4 linked regions of the Caenorhabditis elegans genome follow. The protein of the gene in region 3 purifies or fractionates together with the protein of the main gene of each other region. This does not show direct contact. Each region holds a gene or a part of one and is shown on either strand. Other genes may lie near its edges.

Evidence for each region.
Region 1: the proteins of gpx-5 (region 3) and K09E4.1 fractionate together in Caenorhabditis elegans (co-fractionation; one large-scale study listed by BioGRID). This does not show direct contact.
Region 2: the proteins of gpx-5 (region 3) and W04C9.6 fractionate together in Caenorhabditis elegans (co-fractionation; one large-scale study listed by BioGRID). This does not show direct contact.
Region 4: the proteins of gpx-5 (region 3) and Y71G12B.13 fractionate together in Caenorhabditis elegans (co-fractionation; one large-scale study listed by BioGRID). This does not show direct contact.

The regions. Positions count from the first base shown.
Region 1 is NC_003280.10:14,136,150-14,140,604, reverse strand, and holds K09E4.1 (Protein kinase domain-containing protein), read right to left. Parts: upstream 2,768-4,455; 5' UTR 2,720-2,767; coding exon 2,546-2,719; intron 1,753-2,545; coding exon 1,429-1,752; intron 1,177-1,428; coding exon 571-1,176; 3' UTR 535-570; downstream 1-534. Other genes in the region: cacn-1 (Splicing factor Cactin), read left to right, coding at 253-452, 3,871-4,328.
Region 2 is NC_003279.8:483,517-489,985, forward strand, and holds W04C9.6 (MFS domain-containing protein), read right to left. Parts: upstream 4,877-6,469; 5' UTR 4,475-4,876; coding exon 4,442-4,474; intron 4,387-4,441; coding exon 4,278-4,386; intron 4,212-4,277; coding exon 4,071-4,211; intron 3,334-4,070; coding exon 2,951-3,333; intron 2,104-2,950; coding exon 1,865-2,103; intron 1,761-1,864; coding exon 1,637-1,760; intron 1,487-1,636; coding exon 1,391-1,486; intron 1,343-1,390; coding exon 1,272-1,342; intron 794-1,271; coding exon 610-793; 3' UTR 523-609; downstream 1-522. Other genes in the region: W04C9.9 (Zinc finger protein), read right to left, coding at 354-364; W04C9.2 (MICOS complex subunit MIC13), read left to right, coding at 5,100-5,207, 5,252-5,317, 5,366-5,428, 6,184-6,255.
Region 3 is NC_003284.9:9,582,671-9,586,865, reverse strand, and holds gpx-5 (Glutathione peroxidase), read right to left. Parts: upstream 2,199-4,195; 5' UTR 2,172-2,198; coding exon 2,114-2,171; intron 2,017-2,113; coding exon 1,943-2,016; intron 1,894-1,942; coding exon 1,809-1,893; intron 1,391-1,808; coding exon 1,146-1,390; intron 939-1,145; coding exon 729-938; 3' UTR 522-728; downstream 1-521.
Region 4 is NC_003279.8:1,700,147-1,708,146, reverse strand, and holds the start of Y71G12B.13 (RING-type domain-containing protein), read right to left. Parts: upstream 6,043-8,000; 5' UTR 6,025-6,042; coding exon 5,998-6,024; intron 5,576-5,997; coding exon 5,459-5,575; intron 4,186-5,458; coding exon 3,661-4,185; intron 2,487-3,660; coding exon 2,392-2,486; intron 2,350-2,391; coding exon 2,142-2,349; intron 812-2,141; coding exon 257-811; 3' UTR 1-256. Other genes in the region: lsm-6 (U6 snRNA-associated Sm-like protein LSm6), read right to left, coding at 6,449-6,569, 6,663-6,775; ubc-3 (UBC core domain-containing protein), read right to left, coding at 7,360-7,469.

The sequences.
Region 1 (4,455 bases), on a different chromosome or scaffold from region 3:
TAATCGAAAAAGTCCAATTCACATCAATTTTTAGAAAATTTACACGCTTTTTTCAGAAAAAAATTGGAAAAAAAATTTAAAATTCCAAGAATTGTCCGAGAGGAGAAGTTACTTACAAAAAGTTACTTTTTCCAGTTGAAGAAGCGTTTTTTTCACTTTCAAAATCCTAAAAAAAAAGTATATAAAACTTTAAAATTGTGTCCGAGAGGACTTCAAAAGTGGTGGCCTAGAAAACCCAATTTTCTCTTCCAGCTTCATGCAAATCAGTCGACGACTACGAGGATCTCATCGAGGACATCAAAACGTACAGAGAAGTCGACGGATGGGCCAAAAACGAGACTTGGTGGATGGATGTTACACGAATCGCCGAAGACGAGATTCAGAAGAAGGCCGCACAGAATCGAGGTGATGTGCATGCGAGTGTGCAGACAGAAGTTCAGAATATGTTCAAGGTAGAGTGCCTGAAAATGCTGAAAAATTAACTTGAAACTTTAAAAATCCTCCGGCAAAAAGCCCAAAAATTGACCCTATTTTCCGCACAATATTTAAATTTTATTCAAATTTCAATCCCTATTCCGAGTTCTCTTCCTCAACCGCCGGCTCCTCTTCCTCCGCGATCGTCGGAATCTCATCGGCACGGCACGCCACAAAACGTGGAAGCTCATCCGGCGTCGGCTCCCGCTCGAAATCCATATTCTCCTCGTGATCCGTCACACCTCCGAGCTCCTTGTAGATTTGCTCCGTGAGCCCTGCCAACTTGACATATTCCTCCTCCTCGACAACCGAGTATTCCTTGGCGATAACCACTTCGGCAATCTTGTGGAACACCTCTGGAAGCTCCGCGAATTCCTTGCTCTTCTGGAACTCGGCCTTCTTGACTCCAGCCTCTTCGCGGCTCAGACTTCCCCATGGGAGCTCGCCGAGCACCAGGTGAACCAGCTGGTAGAACCATGTCTCGAGATCCTGCCGGGCGCCAACAAGACCATCGTCACTGCACGGAGCATAATCCAAGCAGCCAGCGTAGCTAGCAATCGGAGCTCCATCATCACCAGAAATGTTCTTGACCAAAGACGAGATGTCCGCCATGAAGAGGTGACGGCTTGCCGCATCGTAGTGGAAGCTGTTGAGATCCATGTTGCGGACGAGGTAGCCATGCTTGTGAGCACATCGGATCACCTAAAAATGAGCAGTTTATCAAGAATTTCTACAAAGTTCCGTGAAATTGACAGAAATTCTGGAGATTTCAAGCAAAATAAGCTGAAATTGAGGCTTCCATGGTAGGCAGGCGCCTGCCTGAGATCGCCATGAAGCCAGGCAGGTAGGCAGGCGTTCCAGCGCCAACACGGGAGCTCAAGCTCCGCCAGAAGCCTAGACAGCCCGTTCAAGCTTCAGAGCGATTCCAGCTAGGACCTCCAGGAGCCAACTAACATTGAGCACATCCTCGGCCAAGCGTCCAGCCGTCCCAAGCGTGAACTTGTTCCGCATCGCAAAGCACTGCTCCAACGTCGGTCCACCACGGAAGTACAGCGACATGTGCCACGCGTCGTCGGTCAGAAAGATCTTGTGAACTTGCGAGAAGAGCCGCCAGTCCTGAAGCTCGGCTTCCACCTTGCACAGGAATGCCGCCTCGGCACGAACCACATGAGTCAGCGCGTCGATCGGTGCGACGCGGACGACGAGCTCTTTTCCGTCGGCGCTGAGCCCGAGGAACGTTCCGCCGACCTTGTCGTCGTAGCCGATTCGTTCGAAGATCTGGAAATTGTGGTTTAATTTTTGGAAAATTGGGAAAATCGATGAATTTCTGAGTTTTTTTTTCACTTTTCCAAAGACTAGCAGTTTTGCGGAAAATCGCTAAAATTTCCGGCAAATCGGTAATTTGCCGAAAATCACAATTTTCCGGCAAATCGGCAAATTTCTGGAATGAAAAATTTCCGGCAAATCACCAAACCGGCAGTTTGCCGAAAATCACAATTTTCCGGCAGATCGGTAAATTTCCGGAATTGAAAATTTCCGGCAAATCACCAAACCGGCAGTTTGTCGAAAATCAAAATTTTCCGGCAGATCGGTAAATTTCCGGAATTGAAAATTTCCGGCAAATCACCAAACCGGCAGTTTGTCGAAAATCAAAATTTTCCGGCAAATCGGCAAATTGCCGGAATTGAAAGTTTCGGGCAAATCACTAAACCGGCAGTTTGCCGAAAATCACAAATTTCCGGCAAATCGGCAAATTGCCGGAATTGAAAATTTCCGGCAAATCGGCAAAAAAATTTGCCGGACGGCAATCGCCGCCCACCCCTAATCGACAGTGCCAAAAACTGCATTTTTTGGTGATTTTTTCGCTAAAAAAAAGTCCGGACAAAGACGGGAAGCCTGAGTTAAGAAGCCCAAGCCCAGCCACAACCTTCGCTGCGTGGCCGGGAAAGAGAAAACTCGGCCACCGAATTGTTCGCGGCCACGTGGCAAATGTGCTTGAAAAACGACGAAAACCTGAGAATTTTGCGGGAAATTCCTGGGTTTTTCACAAGATTTTCGAGTCATTCCTTACCTGAACTTGCCCGTCGACCACATGATCCGGCTGGTAGCACGGGATCCCGTTGATCAGCTCGTACTCGACGTTGTGCTCCTCGAAGAGCTCCGATTTTTGAGCAGCTGACGGCGGTGGAAGAGCCGGTCCGATGGCTTCTTGCTCAAGCTCCTGATGCTGCTCCATTGTGTCCATTTTTCGTCGAATTTGCCTCTTGTTGAACGTTTTGAGTGAAAACAATTTCTCAAACTGATTCGAATAGTCGAGAATTTCTGAAGGGACGTGGTTTTTTTTTTTGGAAAAAAATGGTCACGTTTGTGAAAAATTGACAAAACAATGAAAATTAAATTTAAAAAAAAAACAATTATTTTTGCTGATTTTAACGGAAAAATCTGGAATTCAAGCGATTTTACTGATTTCCAGCCAAGTTTTTGAAAAAAGAGCTGAAAATTTCCTATTTTGCTCACTTTTCAAAAAAGAAAAAAGTACAAAACCACATTTGCCGAACATTTTCGGCAAATTCGGCAAACCAATTTGCCGGAAATTTCAATTCCGCCAATTTACCAGTTTGCCGGAAGTTTCAATTCCGGCATTTCATCAATTTGCCGGTATTTTCCATTCCGCCAACTTGCCGATTTGCGGGAAATTTCAATTCCGGCATTTCATCAATTTGCCGGTATTTTCCATTCAGCCAACTGGCCGATTTGCCGGAAATTTCAATTCCGGCATTTTACCAATTTGCCGGAATTTTCGATTCCGCCATTTTACCAATTTGGCAGAAATTTCAATTCCGGCATTGTACCAATTTGCCAGAAGTTTCCATTCCGGCAATTCATCAATTTGCCGGAAATTTCAATTCCGCCAATTTACCAATTTGCCGGAATTTTCAATTCCGGCATTTTACCAATTTGCCGGAATTTTCGATTCCGGCATTTTACCAATTTGCCGGAAATTTCAATTCCGGCATTTTACCAATTTGCCGGAAATTTCAATTCCGGCATTTTACCAATTTGCCAGAAATTTCAATTCCGGCATTTTACCAATTTGCCGGAAATTTCAATTCCGGCATTTTGCCGGTTTGCCGAGTTGCCGGAAAACTTGTTTGCCGCCCACCCAAAAAATCCAAAAAAAGTACAGATTTCGAGGAAAAAAACCAAAAAAATTCAAGCTAAGAGCATGATTTTTGTCAGTTTTGTCAATTTCATTGAAAAATCAAAAAAAAAACATTTTGAAACGGCTTTTATAACTTATTTTCAGTAATTTTTTGCGGAAAATTGTCTTTTTTATCGCAATTTGAGCCGAAAACTCTGAAAAAAAAAACTCAATTTTCCCCCGAATTTTTCCAGAACAAATCAATCGATGAGCTGCTCAAACTGGAAGACCAAATGGACGCAAAAATCCGCGGAAACAGTGGAAACAAGGGTTACTGGCAGGATTTGGACGATCAGCTGAAGGTTTTTATCGCGCGGAAGCGACTCCGCGAGCATCACGGCCGTGTGCTCCGGCTCCAGTTGGCAATAATTAAGGAAGAGCAGAAAAAGGAGATTCAGCAGCAGGAGTCGGAAGAGCTCCTCCCGGTGGCTGAAGTTCCACCACAAGTGAAAATTCAGAAGGAAGAGGAAGAAGAGGAGGAGGAGGATGAGGATGATGAGAAAATATCGAAGAAAGTTCGGAGAAAGATCGATGTGCAGACGCTTGATGATCCGGAGCTCGATGAGCCGGAGAGGGAGAGAAAATGGAGAGCACTGACGGGAGATCAGTTGGATGACGTCACTCGGGAGTTGTACAGAATTGGATGTTATAGGTTTAGCATTTTTTTTTTGGCAGAAAAACCGTAAATTTTGCAAAAAAATTTCACAAAAATTGGTTTTTATTCACTGAATTTCACTGCAACTTTTTCCTCACGAGGGACGAAGAAAAGTGGTTTCTAG
Region 2 (6,469 bases), on a different chromosome or scaffold from region 3:
GAAAATTAAAAAAAACAACTCAATTGATAGTAAATTTTAAAATTAAAAATTATTTTTCTGGTTTTTTTTTCTCAATTTTTGCAAAATCAAAATTATAATCAATTTTTAATCCAGAATTCGTCAAGTGGCCTAGAATTCTACTGCGTGGCCTAGAAAATTCCACCAAAATTTAAATTTTCCAAATTGTAAAAATGCTCCAAAAAGTTGAATGGTGGCCGAGGTTTTTCGTTTTTCACTTTTCACAGCTACGGAAAAAAACTCGGCCACCAATAGTTTTTCCTAGGCCATGTTTCAAATGCCCTATTTCTATGTTAATTACAGTATTTTCTAGACAAGATTTTAAAAAAACTCACGAATAGCACATGGAGCTCTGACACTTGCTCCCACCAATACAAAATTCCGAATTTTTTACAAAAAACTGCAAAACTATAAGAATTTGTGGTAGAAATTGGGGCATTTACGTAATAATAATAATAGAAAAATGTCCGCAAATTTTTTTTCATAAATTTCATAGGGAGGAGGTAAGCTTCAGCTAGAAGCCATTCAATTTTATTGGGGCGCCGAAAATCTTCGGAACACTTTTACAATTTATACAGTAGTGTACAACTTTTACAACTTAATAATATCTTCAATACTTCCAGAATATTCTTCTTTTTCCTCCTCAATTGCCACGTCATCATCTTGTAATCTGGTCCATTTTGCTGGCGAGGCGTCGGCAAACAGGCAGAATATAGTATTTACGAAGAGAAGTAAGCCCGCATGCGCCAGGAAACAATTACGCCAGTCTGTGAATCTGAAAAAAATAATCTTGTCTTTTAGGGGACCTACGCCTGCCTGCCTACGTCTGCCTTGCAGGGGACCTTTGCCTACCTACTTGACTACCTTCAAGTGAGACCTATGCTGGTTTGCCTGCATTTTTGTCAGTGCCTTCTAGGCCTATGCCTACCTTACAAACTATGTAGGTCAACTGCCTGCTTTCAAGGTGGCCTAGGTCAGCCTACATGCTATCTACGTCTACCCCAATGTACCCTGTGCCTATCTACCTGCTTTTAATGCTATCTGCCTTTTCGATAGTCTTTTAGGGAATCTACGCCGGTCCAGCTCACATAGGTTATCTATGCCTATGCCTTCCTGCCTGCCTCCAAAGTGACCTACGCTTACCGTGTTTTTTTTTCTAGACCGTATATACCTACATGCCTGCCTTTAAGTTTACCTATGCCTGCCTGCATTCCTCATGCCTGCGTGCCTACATGAATACCCTAAAAACTCACGTATCATCAGTAACAATCATATTGACGAAAAACGGTTCGATGAATATCGTGCAAGCCCAGATGTTCATGATCTGGAAGAGAAATCGTTGGCCTAAAAATTTTCTCGGCCACCCCCTTACCTGCTGCATTGCGAAATAGGCGTACTGCTGGGAGTGCAACGTGGCACACTTGTTGAATCCCGCCGTATTGCACCCCATCACACTTTCGGCGCAAATCTGGAATGATGGAAGAGAATAGGAAAACTAGGCCATGGATGTATGTGCGCTATGTTGATAATCGGTTATTTTCAACGTGGATTATCAATTGAGCGCACTTGTCCCACTGGAAGAGTTTTCCTATCTAGGCCACCACCACCACCCACTCACCATTATAATAATAGCCAGCAAGTGTTTTTCCTGTGGAATAAATGCTAGAACGATGAAAAAAACGGCGGCCACGGCCAGAGCGATTGTGTTGAAAATTTTAGTTTTCAGAGTTTCTGAGATGAATCTGGAATATTGATTTTTGGTGGCCGTAGAGAGGAAAAACTCGGCCACTGATTTTTTTCACAATTATAAAATTATTTTTCCAGGAAAAACCCCCGAAAAACTCACTTAATATAATCACTAATAATTCCCGACGATAATTTCGTAAAAAATTGAAAAATAATGGGTAAGGCGGCCAAAAAACCGGACGAAAGTACGTCATAGTTCAAATAATTTTTCATATATTGCGGATTGAATTGGGATACCAATTGAACTGTTATCAAATCTCCAAACGATGCGATCCAACAAGCCCACAGGCTTAAACTTGTCAGAATATGACGGAATGGAAGATTTTTTGGCCGGGATACCTGCAAAACGAAAAAGTAACGGGCTTCGAATTTCCCCCCCCATGTTTTCAAATGGAAGAGGTGGCCGTGAATAAAGCTAACCTCGACCGGGGGTCGCGACTCGCGACAAACGGGAAAACTCAAAGAAATTTCGTACTGTCGCTACTTTTTTTGAGTTTTCCTGTTTGTCGCAGGTCGCGACCCCCGGTCGAGGTTCGCTTTTTTCACGGCCACCTCTTCCATTTGAAAACATGGGGGAAATTCGAAGCCCGTGAAAAGTTAGGCCATGCAATGCGATGTGGTGGCCGAGGTTTTGAAAACTCGGTTACTCTCATGTAAAAAATCTTGAAGTTGAAGCAAATTTGCGTACATGAAACCCATTTACCTTGCTAGCAGTTTTAGAAAAATTTGGGATTTTCTCATACTAATGAGGGAACGTCTTAATTGTCGACAAATTGCGTACCCCGAGGAACCCACTAATTCAGTCCTAGGTTTAGGCATAGGCTAAGGCATAGGCTTAGGCGTAGGCCTAGGCTTAGGCTTAGGCTTACACGTGGTGTCAGAGTGCCTCATTTCGGCTTGATCTACGTAGATCTACAAAAAATGCGGGGGAAGAGCCGCAGAGTTTTCTACTGATTTCGCATGGTTAAGAGTGTGCTGACGTCACATTTTTTGGGGCAAAAATTCCCGCATTTTTGGTAGATCAAACCGTAATAGCACAGCCAGGCACCACGTGCGCTTAGGCTTGGGCTTTCCGTAGTCCTTCGGGCGCGTTTTTCTCAAAAATGATACGTGGTACAATTTCAGGTTTTTTTCCGCTCCAAAATCTAGTTATAATTTGTGTCCGGTAGAGCGCGTTTGCACTCACTTTCTTTCCCGATTTCCCTTCTCGAATCCTCTCCAATTCCTTCTCGCCAACCCAACTGTGCTCACTCGGCGAGCACTTGAAAAATAGGAAAAACAGCGAAAAAGTGACCAACGATACACCGGCGTGCACATAGTAAACCGACGTCCATCCACCAGACGAAGAGCATAACCATCCCGAAACTGGCATTGTAAATATATTTGAAAGTTGTGTATTTCCGGTTAATAGGCCAATGAATACTCCGTGCTCGTATGGGGTCGCCCAATTTGCTGTAATTGAGCCAGCGAGGGGAAATGTGGCTGAAAATGCCATTCCTTGACAAATACGGGCGGCCACAAACCATCCGTAGCCAATGGTACTTGCCAACGGGATAAGGGCTGTTGAAACTGGAAAAATTGAGTGCAATACATCATATTTGACGCGCAATTTTAAAATTTAAAAAATGGAAACGCGCTCTAATGATGCTTGGTGTACTCCTCTCGGACAATAAATGTCAATAATTTTTGAAAAATCGATAATTTTTTTTTAATTTCAGAAAAATTCGTGAAATCTGTTTTATTTTGCGCGTAAAATATGATTCTTAAATACTTAATTCAGTATTTTACGCACGTGGTATCAGAGTGTCTCATTTAGGCTTGATCTACGTAGATCTACAAAAAATGCGGGAGAAGAGACGCAGAGTTCTCAACTGATTTCGTATGGTTAAGAACGTGCTGACGTCACATATTTTCGGGCAAATAATTCCCGCATTTTTTGTAGATCAAACCGTGATGGGACAGCCTGACACCACGTGCTTACGCGGAATTTTTCACAATTTTTTGTGCTTCATGCACCATGTTTTTGTTTCGAAAAATCAGATTATTGTTTTGCGCGTCAAATTCAACGCCCACTGTGCAATACACCATATTTGACGATCAATTTCAAAAATTTTGTATGCTTTCGATGCATGCTTTTTGGGGTACTGTAGCTTTGAAAATACGCATGCACTGGATCTGACGACAAAATGCACAGTTTTTATAAAATTAGTCTATAGAAATTAGTCAGTTTTCTCGAAACAAATAAAAACTACAGAAAACTCGGCCACCGATATTTTTTTTTTTCGCGGCCACGATTGACGTCATACCTCCCGAAATAATTCCGGCGACAATGAAGACAGGTTTATGCGGCAAATGTTGAAAAGAAATGGAAAATGGAATCGAGGCGGCAAGACTTCCAATAGCCACACACGATTGAAGAAAATTCGACTCTGATTTGGTATAGTTCACTGAAAAAATCAACTATTTTGGCGGCCGCCAATGGAAAAACTCGGCCACCGAATTAAAAAAAAAACCTTTTGAAGTTGAAGTACTATTATCATCTTGCATACAAATTTTTGTAAAATTATAAGTATTCATATTTGAAAGAATCGAGGTCAAACACAGTGTGGCACATATTAAAATCTGCAAAAAAATCGTGAAAATTCAATTTTCCGGGGGTTTTGAGTTCAAAAAGTACCAGAAATCGGACAGGAACCGGCGAGTTGACCATGGTGCATCAGAAACCGGAATTTTAAATAAGTAAAAAAATTTATGATGCTCGTGGTGATAACGAAAAGTGCAGTGATCAATTTAAGGGAAATACTGCTGGGGGATTAAACGTTGACACTGTCAACTTGATAGTGTTAATTTGATCAATGCTTTGTACTTGTTTTTTGCAGGAAAAATTCTTTGAAAATTGCAAGACTATAGTATAGTCTGAAAATTTGATGAAATCTAAAACTTTAATAAATACCGTTAATTATCATTATTTTTATGAAATTTTAATATAATCTACTTAAAATTTAATTTTCTAGGCATCTGTGAGCTTAAATTTTCGATTATCCCTCGCCAAATTAAAGATTTGCAGACTTTTAAGCTTATAAGCTTATTTCAGTGAGAGAGAGCATTGTGAGAAGAGAAACGCAGACGAGGCTGGCGCGTTTCTCGTGCTCTGACGCGAGTCTCGATTTGCTTGCGCATTTCTCGTGCGCGCGACGTTCATTTTATTTTTCCGATTTTTTTTCAGTTTTTCTGAACTTTTCTTCTTGAATTTGTGATTTTTTATTTATTTTTCACGTCTTGTTGCAAAATAACTGATTTTTCACACAAAATATTCGAATTTTCAGGTCGGCAACATGGGATTCTTGTGGAAAACTGCAAAACTCGGAATTAAAGTTGGACTCGTCGCCGGCGCCGTCAAACTGTCAATCGATAACGATATTTGGTCGACTAACAATGTTAAAGTATTAGTTTTCCCCCGTTTTTCCACGAAAATTTTCATTTTCAGGGCAGCGAACTGTATCAAAAGCTTAAAAAGTACATTCTTCCCGGCACCGTCGTCTTTCCAGAGCAGGTTTTATCGATTTTTTCTCTGAAAATGCAATTTTTTTCTTATTTTCAGCTCCCAACAGTCGAAGATGTGCAGCTGAAGGCCGGTGGAAAGTGGAACAGTGCTGTTGACTCGGTAGGCTGCATTTTTGAGAGGAAACACGGAAAAATTGCTGCGAAAGTTGGAAAAAAGTCCTGGAAAATGGAGATTTGGCGCCGAACGTTCAAGAAATTCCATAATTTCAAAAATCTATCTGAAAAATTGAAAAATATAAATTTTCAGTCATTTTTAGTCAAATTTCAGAGCTAAACGTCGAAAAAAGTGCCTAAAACTAGGAAAAATATGACAAAAAGACACAAATTTTGGAGAAAATTGCTGAAAATAATGCAAAACACTTTTTTTCACAAAAAGCGAAATTCAAAAAAAATTCCACGTCAAAAATTAACCAAATGCAAGTACGCTCCATCGCACTTTTTTCCAATTTCTGACTCGAAAAGTCTTAAACTTCTGGTTTTGTAGGAAAGATAATGCAAAACGCAATTTTTAGTCCAAAATTCAGAGAAAATTCTGAAATTGTTTTTAAAAAAAATGCAAGCACACTCCATGGCACTTTTTTTTCAAAATTTCGCGTAGAAAATTACAGACATTAGCAAAATTCCGACGATTTCGCTGCGAGACCAGAAATATTGTAGGAAATTCAAACATTATCCGAAAATAATGCAAACGCGCTCTATCGCACTTTTCTCCAAGTTCCCACTCAAAAAGCATAGAAAATACCTGAAATTGCCGTTTTTTTTCACCGGAATTTCAAATTTACGCGATTTCGCTGCGAGACCCAAGCTAGTGCAGTGGAGCGCATTTCCAACAATTTCAAACTCAATTTTTTTCAGGTATTCACCACAATCGAGAACGTCCCATCAAGCGTGAACACAGTGGCCAATCGACTCATCAATAATAAATAAATTCCCCATAAAAATTATCGATTTATCGATTTTCCCCCCGAATCCTCGTGTATTCCTTCGTTAGAATGTACTTTTTCCCTCCTCATTTTCTAGAAGTATTTGTGTGTGTGCTCTATGAAAAAATTTGCAATTTTTGACTTTAAACGGACGGTGCATTATATTATTTTATCAGTTCCCATCGTTGATCAATTTTCTCCACTGATTATCAATTCAC
Region 3 (4,195 bases):
ACAGTTTCACCACTCATACCTGTGAACTAATCACTTAGGGTGAACATAACAAATTATGGAACAAAAGGGTGAAAAATTCCTTTTTGTATTTGTATAATACCACACATAAAAAATAAGTGTAACTTTCATTTATATATTCATTCAAACTGGACGTGATATTTGTTTATTTCTTCAGGCGGATTTAAAAACTATTAACGTATTCTGGCTAAAAAATTTGCTTTTAAAAATATAAGGTTATGATAGACAGGTATATCAGGAACAGGAATAGGTATAGAGATATCTTTTTTATCTCGAATGTTTTTGCTGAACACATTCGTTTTTAATCATGCAATTTAAAACAGTATTCTGTTTGTATAACAAAGCTAGATTATCCAATTTTGCTTCCAGTGTCAGTTTATCCAATATATGCACTGTGTACTGAAAAAAATAGCAGAATAATTCAAATTTAGTAGTAAACTCTTTTCGATTAATGTATTTGTGCGAGCAATTTTTTTTTTAATTTTTCCATGAAAAGTATGATTAATGTGATATTCTACTTTATTTCGACGGAACGTAAATACAGGAACGGAGAAAAACCCGGAGGCAATTAAAACGTGGAGAAGCACAATATCTTATGATATTCGCTATACAAGAACAAAGCAACCCCTGATTGACATGTGGGTCGGTACTACGAAAGTATACACACACATTGGAATGAAATCAATGATTGTCAATTAGTTAATAACCAATTAATTAGCTGGCTCAGCAAGGAGTTGCTCAATGAATGGAGTGACAACATCTCCGTGGCTCCAAGCAGTTGGGTGGAAGCGGAATCTTGGTTGTCCATTTCTGTCAATAAGGAACTTCTCGAAGTTCCATGTGATATCAGAAGCACGAATTGGGTTGTACATCAATTCATCAGTCTTTCCAATTTTGTCAACAGTTTGTGGGCAAGACTCCTGCAATGTAAAATAAGATGAATGATTGCCGAATGGTCGAGAATGTAGAAGAGACCATTGGCAGTGTAAACTGAACACAATGCCATTCTTTTGTTGTGTTCAATTCCTACCCCCGAAACATATTATTTTGTTGTTTGACCTTGGTGTAAAGAAACGAATAAAGGAAATGACCCCCTGACTAGTTGGCGGTAATGGTCTAAAACTGACCTTGACAAACTCGTAGATTGGGTGTTGGTTGTCTCCGTTGGTGTCAAGCTTTCCATAAATGTGCAAGTTCTGGTGTGGCTTCCATCCGTTTCCAGGACGAACATACATTATTCCATTCATCAGTTCATGGTTCTCAGCTGGCTCTTGCAAATAGAATTGATTGCATGGGAAGGCAATGAGAGTAAATCCTTGGGATTGGTACTTCTCGATAAGGGGGTTGAAATCCGTGTATTGCTGGGTGTACGCTAGAATTGTTTCAATTTTCATCGTTGTTTATAAGGTTCAAATAGACATTGATAAACGACCGAATGGCGTCGAACGTGTTAAGCAATCAGCCATATGTTCCATCGGTAGAATTGTTTTGGGAAATGTTTCTATCTCTTTTTAACATTCGAAAATCGAAAAGAATCGTGATAATCTATATACTAAAAAATCCTGAGTATAAAAATGGGTGTGAGACAATTTTTTAATAAATTTTTTCTCTGAAAACATGTTCGTTATGATATAGTCTATCTGTTTCGGCCAAGTTTTGGAGAAAAGTGATATGGTTTGGGTTGCATCTTTTGCAAAAGCCGGAAATGGGATGAGATCTCATGAATCTTATAATCTTCTAAATCTTCTAAACAAAAAAAAGAGAGAGAGAGATATTATAAGACAACTCACCGCAAAAAGTAGCAACGTTGACCATGAGAAGCACCTGTCCACGGTATTGACTAAGGTCTGTGTATTCTCCTTGTAGTGTTTCTACCTAAACCAATTTATGGATAACAAAAGCTCCTTTCAAATTTCAAATTTACCTGGAAATCGTAAATAGATTGGTTTGTGTCTTTACATTGACTCCAGCGAGTCGTTTCGTCAACCATTTTCGGTCCTGGAAATGTTGATATTCGGTATTGGAAAATTGTATCCAGTAGTTCTATTTTCAAACTGCTGAGATAAAAAATTATGATGAGAAACTAGAAGCAAACCTGGCTGAGCAGCGACGAACGCAAAAAGAGCCGCAAATGTGAGCTGCCAAAGTGCCATTTTCGTATCTCTCTCGATTCTACAACTTCGAGACTGATGACTGCCACCTATCACCCATCCACTTTTATACCCATCTATACACCTTCTGTACAGTATCCATTAAGTGGAGAGTTGCTAGAGAAAAAGAGTAGGCGGAATATGGAAGTTTGTGGATGCGCAGAGATGTTGAGAAGAAGGGCGTGGTGGAGATGAAGAGAGAGAAAAGGAAAATATGACGGGAGAGTGATTGAACAAACATCTGAGATGTCTAGAGTTAGTATTTGAGCTTCCTGAAATGGATACTAGTACAGATAAATACCCAGAGAAATCGTTCCTGTTATTGTTATTTCCACCAATACTTCGGAACTGTTTTGCTTTCAGAAATTCCAAAGTAGTGAAAATATATAACAAACAAACAGAACTCAATACTTCTCAAAATCTGTTATTTGCTTTATCTTCTTCTCAATTTTTATTAGCTGTTTACTGTGAAAATTTCAAACCTAAGGAAAAGCAAATGGATCTATTTCAGTAAAATTTCACAGAAACGATTTGGAAAATAAATATCTATAGTTTTGTTTACCAACTGTTTTTTAATGCATTTTTCAAAGTTTGAAAGAAAAGAAAGATGAAGCAACAATTGATGGATGACTTATGGATATTTATCCCAAATCAATGTCAACATTAGCATTCACTCGGAATGACAAAAAATTCCGGAAAAAAGCGAGAATAATCGGGAATGATGGATAGTAATTGTAAAGAACTTATCGCTTTTTCTCTTTTTATTGTGATGACCAAATGTCCGATTTCACTTTCTTTTCCTGATCAATAATCTTTTTTTTTCTGATACATAAAAGATGAATAAGTATTGCTTTTATTGGATTGGTGGTGGCTTGTGAAGAGTTTAAAAACTTGGAACGTGTTTTAATGAATGAAACAAGAAAAAAGAACTCGATTAAACAATTTGGTTATTTCTCAATTATGTTTTGTTGAGATAGTTTGAATCACAGATTGATAGAGCTTCAATTCAAAATACTATTTACTATATGTATATATTTGTTTATTTATCTAGTTGTAAAGGTATAATCAAATCAAAGAGAAATACGATATAAATGATCTTGAGATAAAAAAGATAAAGTGACCAAATCTTGACCGAATGCAAATTACAAAAACATATATTTACGCTGGAAATTCAGAGCTCATACACTGCAATAGACAAAAATGATTTTGTGCACTTCTGGGTTTTTTGAGCCAACTTCTGTACAACAATTCGAGTTAATTAGAGATATGATTTTGAAAATATTTCAGATCGCACGCCAGCTCCACCAGTCTAGTTTGGCCGCTTTCAATGATGTATCATACATTCAACATTTGGCACACATGGCAACTGTAGTTCAAAGTTTTTGAGTCATCTGTGTTTTTTTCATAAAATTGAATGATCTATCACTGTGTTTCCATTCTCCATCCAGATGGTATTTAAAATCCTTGAACACTTCACAATTAAATTTTTGATATCCTGAAATTCGTCATAAGTTGTTTTTCTCATTTCCACATTGAATTTCTCAAATGTTTTGTTCCATTATTCTCTAATGTTTCTATTCCTCAAATTCAAATAAACCTTGGAGTGTCAATGCAAAGGGGTTAACAACTCGTCAACCCCCACCTCCCCTTTCATACTCTCGTCATAAAAAAACTGGATTCCTCTGTTAGTACTACGTGATTGTTGTGGTTACTATCCTTGGTGTAGTCACCTGTTTTTTGAGATGAAGAATAGAACAATAACAATGGCAAATAATTATGTTCGGATCTTGACCAAAGCTTTTATAATTTTCTACTTTGGATCATTTTTCGTTCTCGAATATTCAAGAACAAACTATGATGGGGAGGAAAAAAACTGAGAGTCATTAAGAACTGTTTCGGTTCTTGCCACCAATTTGACAATAGGGGCCGAAAGTAGTAACGCATAATTTCCTTTGTCTCTGACCTCTCTTAACAACCAATTTTGTGTCTTTTTTCAAGTGAAACATCTTACATACAAAAAACTTCTT
Region 4 (8,000 bases), on a different chromosome or scaffold from region 3:
CCGGCAAACCGGAACATTGCCGGAATTGAAAAATTCCCGCAAACAGAAAAATTGCCGATTTGCCGGAATGGAAAATTTCCGGCAAATCGGTAATTTGCCGGAATTGAAAATTTCCGGCAAATCGGTTTTTTTTTTAAATTTTTCAGGGAATTTATTTTTTTCAGGGGAAAATTTTGCTAAAAATCCGCTATTTTGCCAATTTCCATCTAAAAATTCCAATTTTCAAGTAAAAAAGCGGGGGAAAAAACGAGAAGAATTAAAAATCAAAATTATCATTAACAAATTCCGAGTTCTCCTGAACATTAAAACCCGTAAAAACATCATCATCATCATTCTCAGGCTCCGCTTCATCACCCGAATGCTCTTGGGGCTCAAAATCGAGGTGTTGCTCCATAATCGGAGCTTCTTCCAATCCGAGAAGCATCGCCTCCAGTGGATCAGCCGGATCCAGTGGTGCCGCCTGATGATTCTGAGCATCAATTCTCTCGTAGAGATCGTCAAATTCAAAGCCCCAATGAGCATCTGGCTCCTGGTGCTCCTGGTACTCCGGCTCTTCGTCATAATTTCCCACATGGAATTGCACAGGCTCCGGCTCCTGCTGGAATTGAGAAGCTGGAGCTGGAGCCGGAGATGGTGTACTCGTCAAGGATCTTGCCGTTTCCTCGTCACGTCGAAGCTTCTTGTTCAGAATTCTCGCAGAAACCGATTGATGAATCGTCTGCTTACGGGTTTCCGCTTTCAGTTTCTCCGAGATTTTACGATCCTCTTCGATTTTTCGACGCTTCGCCAGGCTTGCCAGGCTGAAGTTGCGCTGAAAAATGAGGAAATTAGCGTCTTTTTTTTATTTATTTTATTAATCAAAAAAATATTATTTACGCGCAGCAAAATTTGGACCGAAATGAAAATAAAAAAGAAAAATTCAAGTTGTTCTGTGTAAAAAATCGGAAAAAATCAAATTTTTGTGGAAAAAAAAATTGGAAAATTCGACTTTTTTTGACTAAAAGATCGGAAAAATTCAAATATTTTGTAGGAAAATTGGCAATTTTGTAAAAAAAATCGAAAACTGCGTAATTTTAGGAAAAATCGGCATTTTTTGTATTTTTCAGCGAATTTCGAGAAAAATGTCTGAAAACAGAAACCCATAAATTTCGGAAATTAAATTTAAAATTTGATTTTTTTGAAATTGCTTTAAAGCATGCTTATGATACCACAATAACCGAATATATCATAATAAAAAAATTCAAAAAAAATTTTTTTTTCTAAATTTTATATGATTTTTGAAAATTGAAAAAATCTCAGTTTTCCCCCTAATTCCTATTTGAATTTCCGCCAATTGAACTCGTTCGTTGGAGCGCGCTTGCATTGTTTTCATTAATTTTTTAAAATTTATTTTCATTATTTCACTGATTTTCTTCATTTTTTGGGTGTTTTTAATCGGAAAATGAAAGAAACATACAGGAAAAATGCAAAATGTTTATTAAAAAGTAACTGAAAATGCCTAAAACTGTGAATAATACTTATTTCAGGCTCGTCATCGTCGGATCGTATAATTTCAGAGTTTTAGGCATTTTCAGTTACTTTTTAATAAACATTTTGCATTTTTCCCGTATGTTTCTTTCATTTTCCGATTAAAAACGCCCAAAAAATGAAGAAAATCAGTGAAATAATGAAAATAAATTTTTAAAAAATTAATGAAAATAATGCAAGCACACTCCATCGAACAAATTCAATTAGCGGAAATTCGAATCGGAATTAGGGGGAAAACTGTGATTTTTTCAATTTTCAAATATCATAAAAAATTTAGAAAATTTTTTTGCATTTGTTTTACCATGCTATTCGGTCATTATGACCCCATAGGCGCGTTTTAAAGCAATTTTTTCGAGAAAAAAAATTATTTTTTCATGTAGATTCTGCGAATTTTTGAATTTTGGCTAATTTGTGTAAAGTTTTGCAAAATCGTCGCAGGAAAATCAAATTTTTGGGTTTTTATCGAATTTTTTTGTTTTTTTATGCCAAATTTTTTAAAATTTTGCAAAATCTTCGCAGGATAATCAAATTTCTAGGTTTTTCTTCGTTTTTTCGGCCAAATTTTTCAAAAATTTCCATGATTTTCGTCATTTTTCCTCTTCTTCAATCCGTACCATAACATTGCCAACTTTCTCTCCGACAGCTTTCTTAATTTGTTGCAAATCAATTCCAACACTTTTCAGCAACTCATCCGCATTTCCACTTCTCGCCACCATTTTCTCTTCTACAGTGAAATTAATCATTCGACGTCGGGCAGTTTTCCAATCTTCACGAGTTATTGATTGTAGACAATTTTCAATGTCTTCTATCCGATAGGGAAGTCTAAAATTATCGATTTTTTGCCATTTGTTGAGCATTTCCAACCGTAAAGCCGCTCTTGAACGCTTATAGGTCATCGGAGTACGCTGGAAGTAGTGAGCATCGAAAAACTCCTGCATACGACGGAATAATTCGGATTCCTGAAAAAAAAAATCGATTTTTGGGAGATGTTAATGAAAATTTTTGCGTTTTTTTCGCAGTATTGAGCAAAAATTCGAAGGATTTCACCCAGAAAACCCAGAAAATCGCGATTTTTTTTTCTTCCAATTTTTTGATTATCGAAATTTCCGTTTAAAAATTCGAGAAAATTCGAATTATCGATTAAAAATCCAGGAAAAGTGTAATTTTCACTAAAAATTCGGGAAAATTCAAATTTCCAGTAAAAAAATCGGGAAAATTCAAATTTTCGCTCAAAAATACGGGAAACTTTGAAGAAATTCAAATTTTCATTCCAAAATTCGGCAAAACTGAAATTTTCACTAAAAAATTCGGGAAATTTCAAATTTTTGCTAAAAAAACTCGGAAAAACTCAAATTTTCACTAAAAAATTCGGGAAAATTCAAATTTTCTTTAAAAAGTTCGGGAAAAGTCAAATTTTTGCTAAAAAATCGGGAAAACGCAGATTTCCGTTGAAAACTTCGAGAAAATTCGAATTTTCAACTAAAAATCCAGGAAAATTCAAATTTTCACTAAAAAATTCGGGAAAATTCAGTCTTTTGGTAAACATTTCGAGAAAATTCAAATTTCCGTTGAAAACTTCGAGAAAATTCAAATTTCCGCTTAAAAATTCGAAAAAAACTCAACTTTTCGCTTAAAAACTCGGGTAAATTCAAATTTTCGTTAAAAAGTTCGGGAAAATTCAGATTTCCGTTGAAAACTTCGAGAAAATTCAAATTATCGATGAAAAATCCAGGAAAATTCAAGTTTTCACTAAAAAATTCGGGAAAATTCAAATTATCGATTAAAAATTTCGGAAAATTTAAATTTTCGCTTAAAAATCGGAAAAATTCAATTTTTCGCTTAAAAATTCGGGAAAATTCAGATTTCCTTTTAAAAATTCGAGAAAAATCAAATTTAGATTTAAAAATTCGGGAAAATTCAAATTTTCGTTAAAAAGTTCGGGAAAATTCAAATTTCCGTTTAAAACTTTGGGAAAGTTTAAATTTCAACTAAAAAGTCGGGAAAATTCAAATTTTCGCTAAAAAATTCGGAAATAATCAAATTTCCGTTTAAAAATCCAGGAAAATTCAAATTTCCGCTTAAAAATTCGGGAAAACTCAAATTTTTTTCAGCTCAAAAGTTCCAAATTTTCACCTCCATATTTATAATAGTATTCGACGCTTTCGAGTCGGCCGCAACTTTTTCTATCAACGAAGCCCACGATTTTCCAGAATCATTAAGCCGTCGCTTAATAGTCCTACACGGCCTGACGGCCTCTTCTTCTTCAATTTCCACATCATCAATACTCTGATTTTCAAGCTCAGCTTCTGCCGAGCAAGACGTTGAAGGGGTATTTGTATTATTAACAGTTTCGGAATGAAGACTTTCAGCTTTTAGCCTATTCTGACCACTGGATTTCTCAGAAATCGTAGTCGTCGTCGTCGTCGTCCCGTCCAACGAGTTTCTGGCGGCTCGATTTTCAGAATTTTCAGAATTTCCAGCCACTGATGAGCAACGGGAGACCGGTCGAGAGTTGGCGAACGTCAGGGGATACAGATATTGATATTTCTCGGGAAGCTTCTCAATGCGTGGCAGGGGAATGCATTTTTGACGCTTTTGGAAGGCAGTTTGGACGACATGATAGACGTGTGGAGGCATATCCATTGGGAATTGACATTTCTGCAAATAAAAAATAAATAAAAAATGATTAAAATCGGCAGTTTTAGTTTTTAAAAAAGTCGTAATTATGCACGCTCTCCTCAAAGCCGAATAATTATTAGAGCGCGCTTGCTGCGCTTCGCATTTCTGAATCCGCGGTATTTTGACTTTCCACTGAAAAAGCAGATATTTCAGATTTATCGAATTTTCTAGCTTTAAAAAAAATTTTTCTCCAGTTTTCGAACAAACCTTTTGTTAAACAGTGAAAATCGAATTTAAAATGACTAAAATGAACTTTTTTCGTCCACTGGCTGTGAAATGGTTTGAATTTGAAAAAATTAACGGGATTTTTCTTATTTTCTAAATATTTTTCTATTAAAATCGGTTTTAAAACATTTGTGACTTTTAGGGTCAAAAAAATGGGTTAAAACCGATTTTTAATAGAAAAATATTTAGAAAATAAGAAAAATCCCATTGATTTCTTCAAATTCAAACCATTTCACAACCAGTGGACGAAAAATTTCATTTTAGTCATTTTTCGATTTTCACTGTTTAACAAAAGGTTTGTTCGAAAGATGCATTTAAAAAATTTTAAAAGCTAAAAATTCGATAAATCTGAAATATCTGCTTTTTTCAGTGGAAAGTCAAATTACCGCGGATGCAGAAATGCGAAGCGCAGCAAGCGCGCTCTAATAATTCTCCGGCTTTGAGGAGAGCGTGATTATGAAATATTACTGAAAATTAATGTTTTTTAAAATCAATTTCCGGTGAACTTCCGATGATTTCGACGATTTTTCCGCCTCAAAATTACTCGATTTTCACAAAATTAACTAAAAATTGTCCGTTTTGTTGAATTTCAAGTTCAAAATTTGAAAATTCTGAGGAGACATTGCTTTAAAACATACCTATGGTACCACAATGACCAAATATCATAGTAAAATTTTTTTTAATGTTCTAAATTAAAAAAAAAATTTACTATGATATTTGGTCATTGTGGTACCATAGGCATGTTTTAAAGCAATTTCCCCACAGAATTTTCAAGTTTTGAACTTGAAATTCAATAAAACCGGAATTTTTTAGTTAATTTTGTGAAAATCCAGTGATTGAGGGGAGAAATCGTCGAAAACATCGGAAATTCACCGAAAATTGATATAAAAAACAATAATTTTCAGTTAAATTGCTATGAAAAGCTGATTTTCTCCGTTCATACGAGCCAAAACAACCTGAAATTCGATTTTTAGCTCGATTTTTGCCTGGTTTCCCAATATAAATTCAGTTTTTCATGAATTTCTACCTGAACAGCCTCACATATCCACCAAATATTATCGGATCCATTGGGTTCGGTGCTGATGAGCTCTGGCTTGAGCTGTTTCGTCTTACATCGCGGACACTTGAGCCATTCGCTTTTCATCTGAAATTAAATGAGTTTTTTGATGGAAAATTCGAAATTTTAAGGCTAGAAACGAGCACAAAATGAGCACACAAACGCTCAAACTTTGAAACTAACTGTTTTTTTTTCAATTTTCGGAAAATCGATGGGGGGACAGAAGACTGATGGATTTCGTGCGACGTCTCTCTCTCTCTTGCTCTTCTTTATCTTCTTTTGGTCTTTTCACTATGAAATTAGGTATAGTTTTTGAATGGTATCATTTGAAATGTGCGATCACATATCGGGCGGCAGAAAACCGCCTAATTCTCCTTTTCCAGTGCGGGTGGAAAGATCATCGCAAGGCGGTTTAGCCTTAGTGTGATCGCATATCATTACAAATTATCACTTACCACTCGGAGAGCAAAAGTTAATCAGTTTTTAAATCAAAAAAAAAATCAACTTACTAAGGCGGGAAGTGGTCCGGGTGGCATTATCCTTTTGAAAATTGTCTGAAAATTGCGATTGTTGCAGTGAAAGTGGCACAAAAATACGTAGAATTCGAAATTTGAGTTGAAAAATCGAAAAAATCACCGGAAAAGCTCGAAAAATCGATGAAAACGCGATAAATTGACTTAAAAATGTCTTCTTTTTTTCGAAAATGCTTCCCCGTAAATCGAATCGTGGTGAGACCCACCGCACGTGACGCATGACCGCGACGCGTCTAACGGTGAGGAAACCCAAGAAATTTCTCGATTTTTGCTGAAAAAGCCTGTTTTCGAGCGAAATAACTCAGATTTTCGGCGAAAAAAAAAACACAAATTTATTCGAGATCCAAACGTATCAAACAAGAAATTTGCTCAAAATAGCTCAAAAAAGGGAAAAATATTTGGAAAATAAATCGAAATCAAAAAAAAGTTATTTCGTCGATGTGGAGATGTAGAGCACATTGTTCCCGCGGATGAACGCATCGCCGTACTTGTTCTGAAGTTGTCCGTTGCTGTATTCTTCGGTTTGTTCGAGCGCGATGTTCATATATCTGAAAAATTAGATTTTTTCGTAATTTTTCTGGAAGAAAAATTAATTTTCAGGTGTTTTTAATCAGATTTTTTGATTTTTCCCAATCACTAACCCGTCGAGACATGCGAGAATGCCACGGTAGTCGACGCCAGAGTTGAGCTTCACCACAACCGGCTTTCCGATGACTTTCTTCAGGAATTCGGCGGGATTCTGTCGTTTGCTCATTTTCTAGAGTGCTGAAATTGAGAAAAAATATTACTTTCACGGGTTTTTAGAGTAAAAATATGTTAAAATCAAGAGAAAAATGCGTTAAAATTGCGATTTTGCTTCAAAAAAAATTATTTTCTACAGTGTCCGCAAACACCGTGACGCAAAAATGCAGACTTGCGAAAAAAATGTTTTTTTCGGATTAAATCGACTTATTTTTTGAGAATTCAACTCTAAATCTGCAATTTTCCGAGACAATTTAGAAAAAAGAAGGCTTCATTTATAGAAAACAAAAATAGTTGAAAGTGCACTGTGATCAGCCTGTGTGTGTGTGTAATTGGACAAAAAAAACTGTTTCCAGACGAAAAAATATTGAGTATAACACAAATATGAATTGATAGCTGCTTGGGAAGGGCAAAAGTGTACATATAAATGCATTGAGAAAAGGACTAGTTGAGTCGGATTTTGAAGATTTTTTGTTTGAAAGAAGCGCCAAGATTTCGTGGTATATTTGATATGAATTTGAATTTTTCTAGGTTGGAAAATTGAGAAAATTGAGAAAAAAAATGGGGAAAAAATTATAGAAAATTAAAAAAAATTGACTAATTTTCTCCTTGTCCCGAATCCTCGTCATCATCATTATAGTCCGAGCCGCATTCGTCCTCGTCCTCCTCCTCTTCATCGTCGTCATAGTCACACCCGAAATCGTCGTCTGAAAAAAATCGATATTTAATTGAAAATTTGGCAAAAATCCGGGTTTTTAACTGAAAAATCCAATTTTCTCGGGAATTTTACAACTAAATTTGCGAAAAATAGACTTTTTTTTGAGGTTTTTGAGGTCACGGGGTTCTGACCTTCCTCATTGAATTTTTCGCGCTCCATTGACAATCGCCCGCCGGAAAACGTGTGGGAAAGTCGTGTACTCCACACGGACAAATACATTTAGTTTTACAACTAAAATCGAGCCGCGGCGCGACACGCAACGCGCCGTAAATCTACCCCAGATATGGTGGCCTGGACTAGTTCGGCAAAAACTCTTCCATTTCAATTTATAAGGGAAGCCAGAAATCCGTGAATTCGTGCGATTTCTGGCAATTTACCTGAAAAATCGGCAATTTTTTTTGAAAAAAGTGTATAATTTTGCGGATATTTCGACTAAAAACTGACAATTTTTGAATTTTACCAAAAATAGCCAGTTTTAGTGCAAAAAACGCAAAATATAAGACATTTTTAGCGTAGAAGA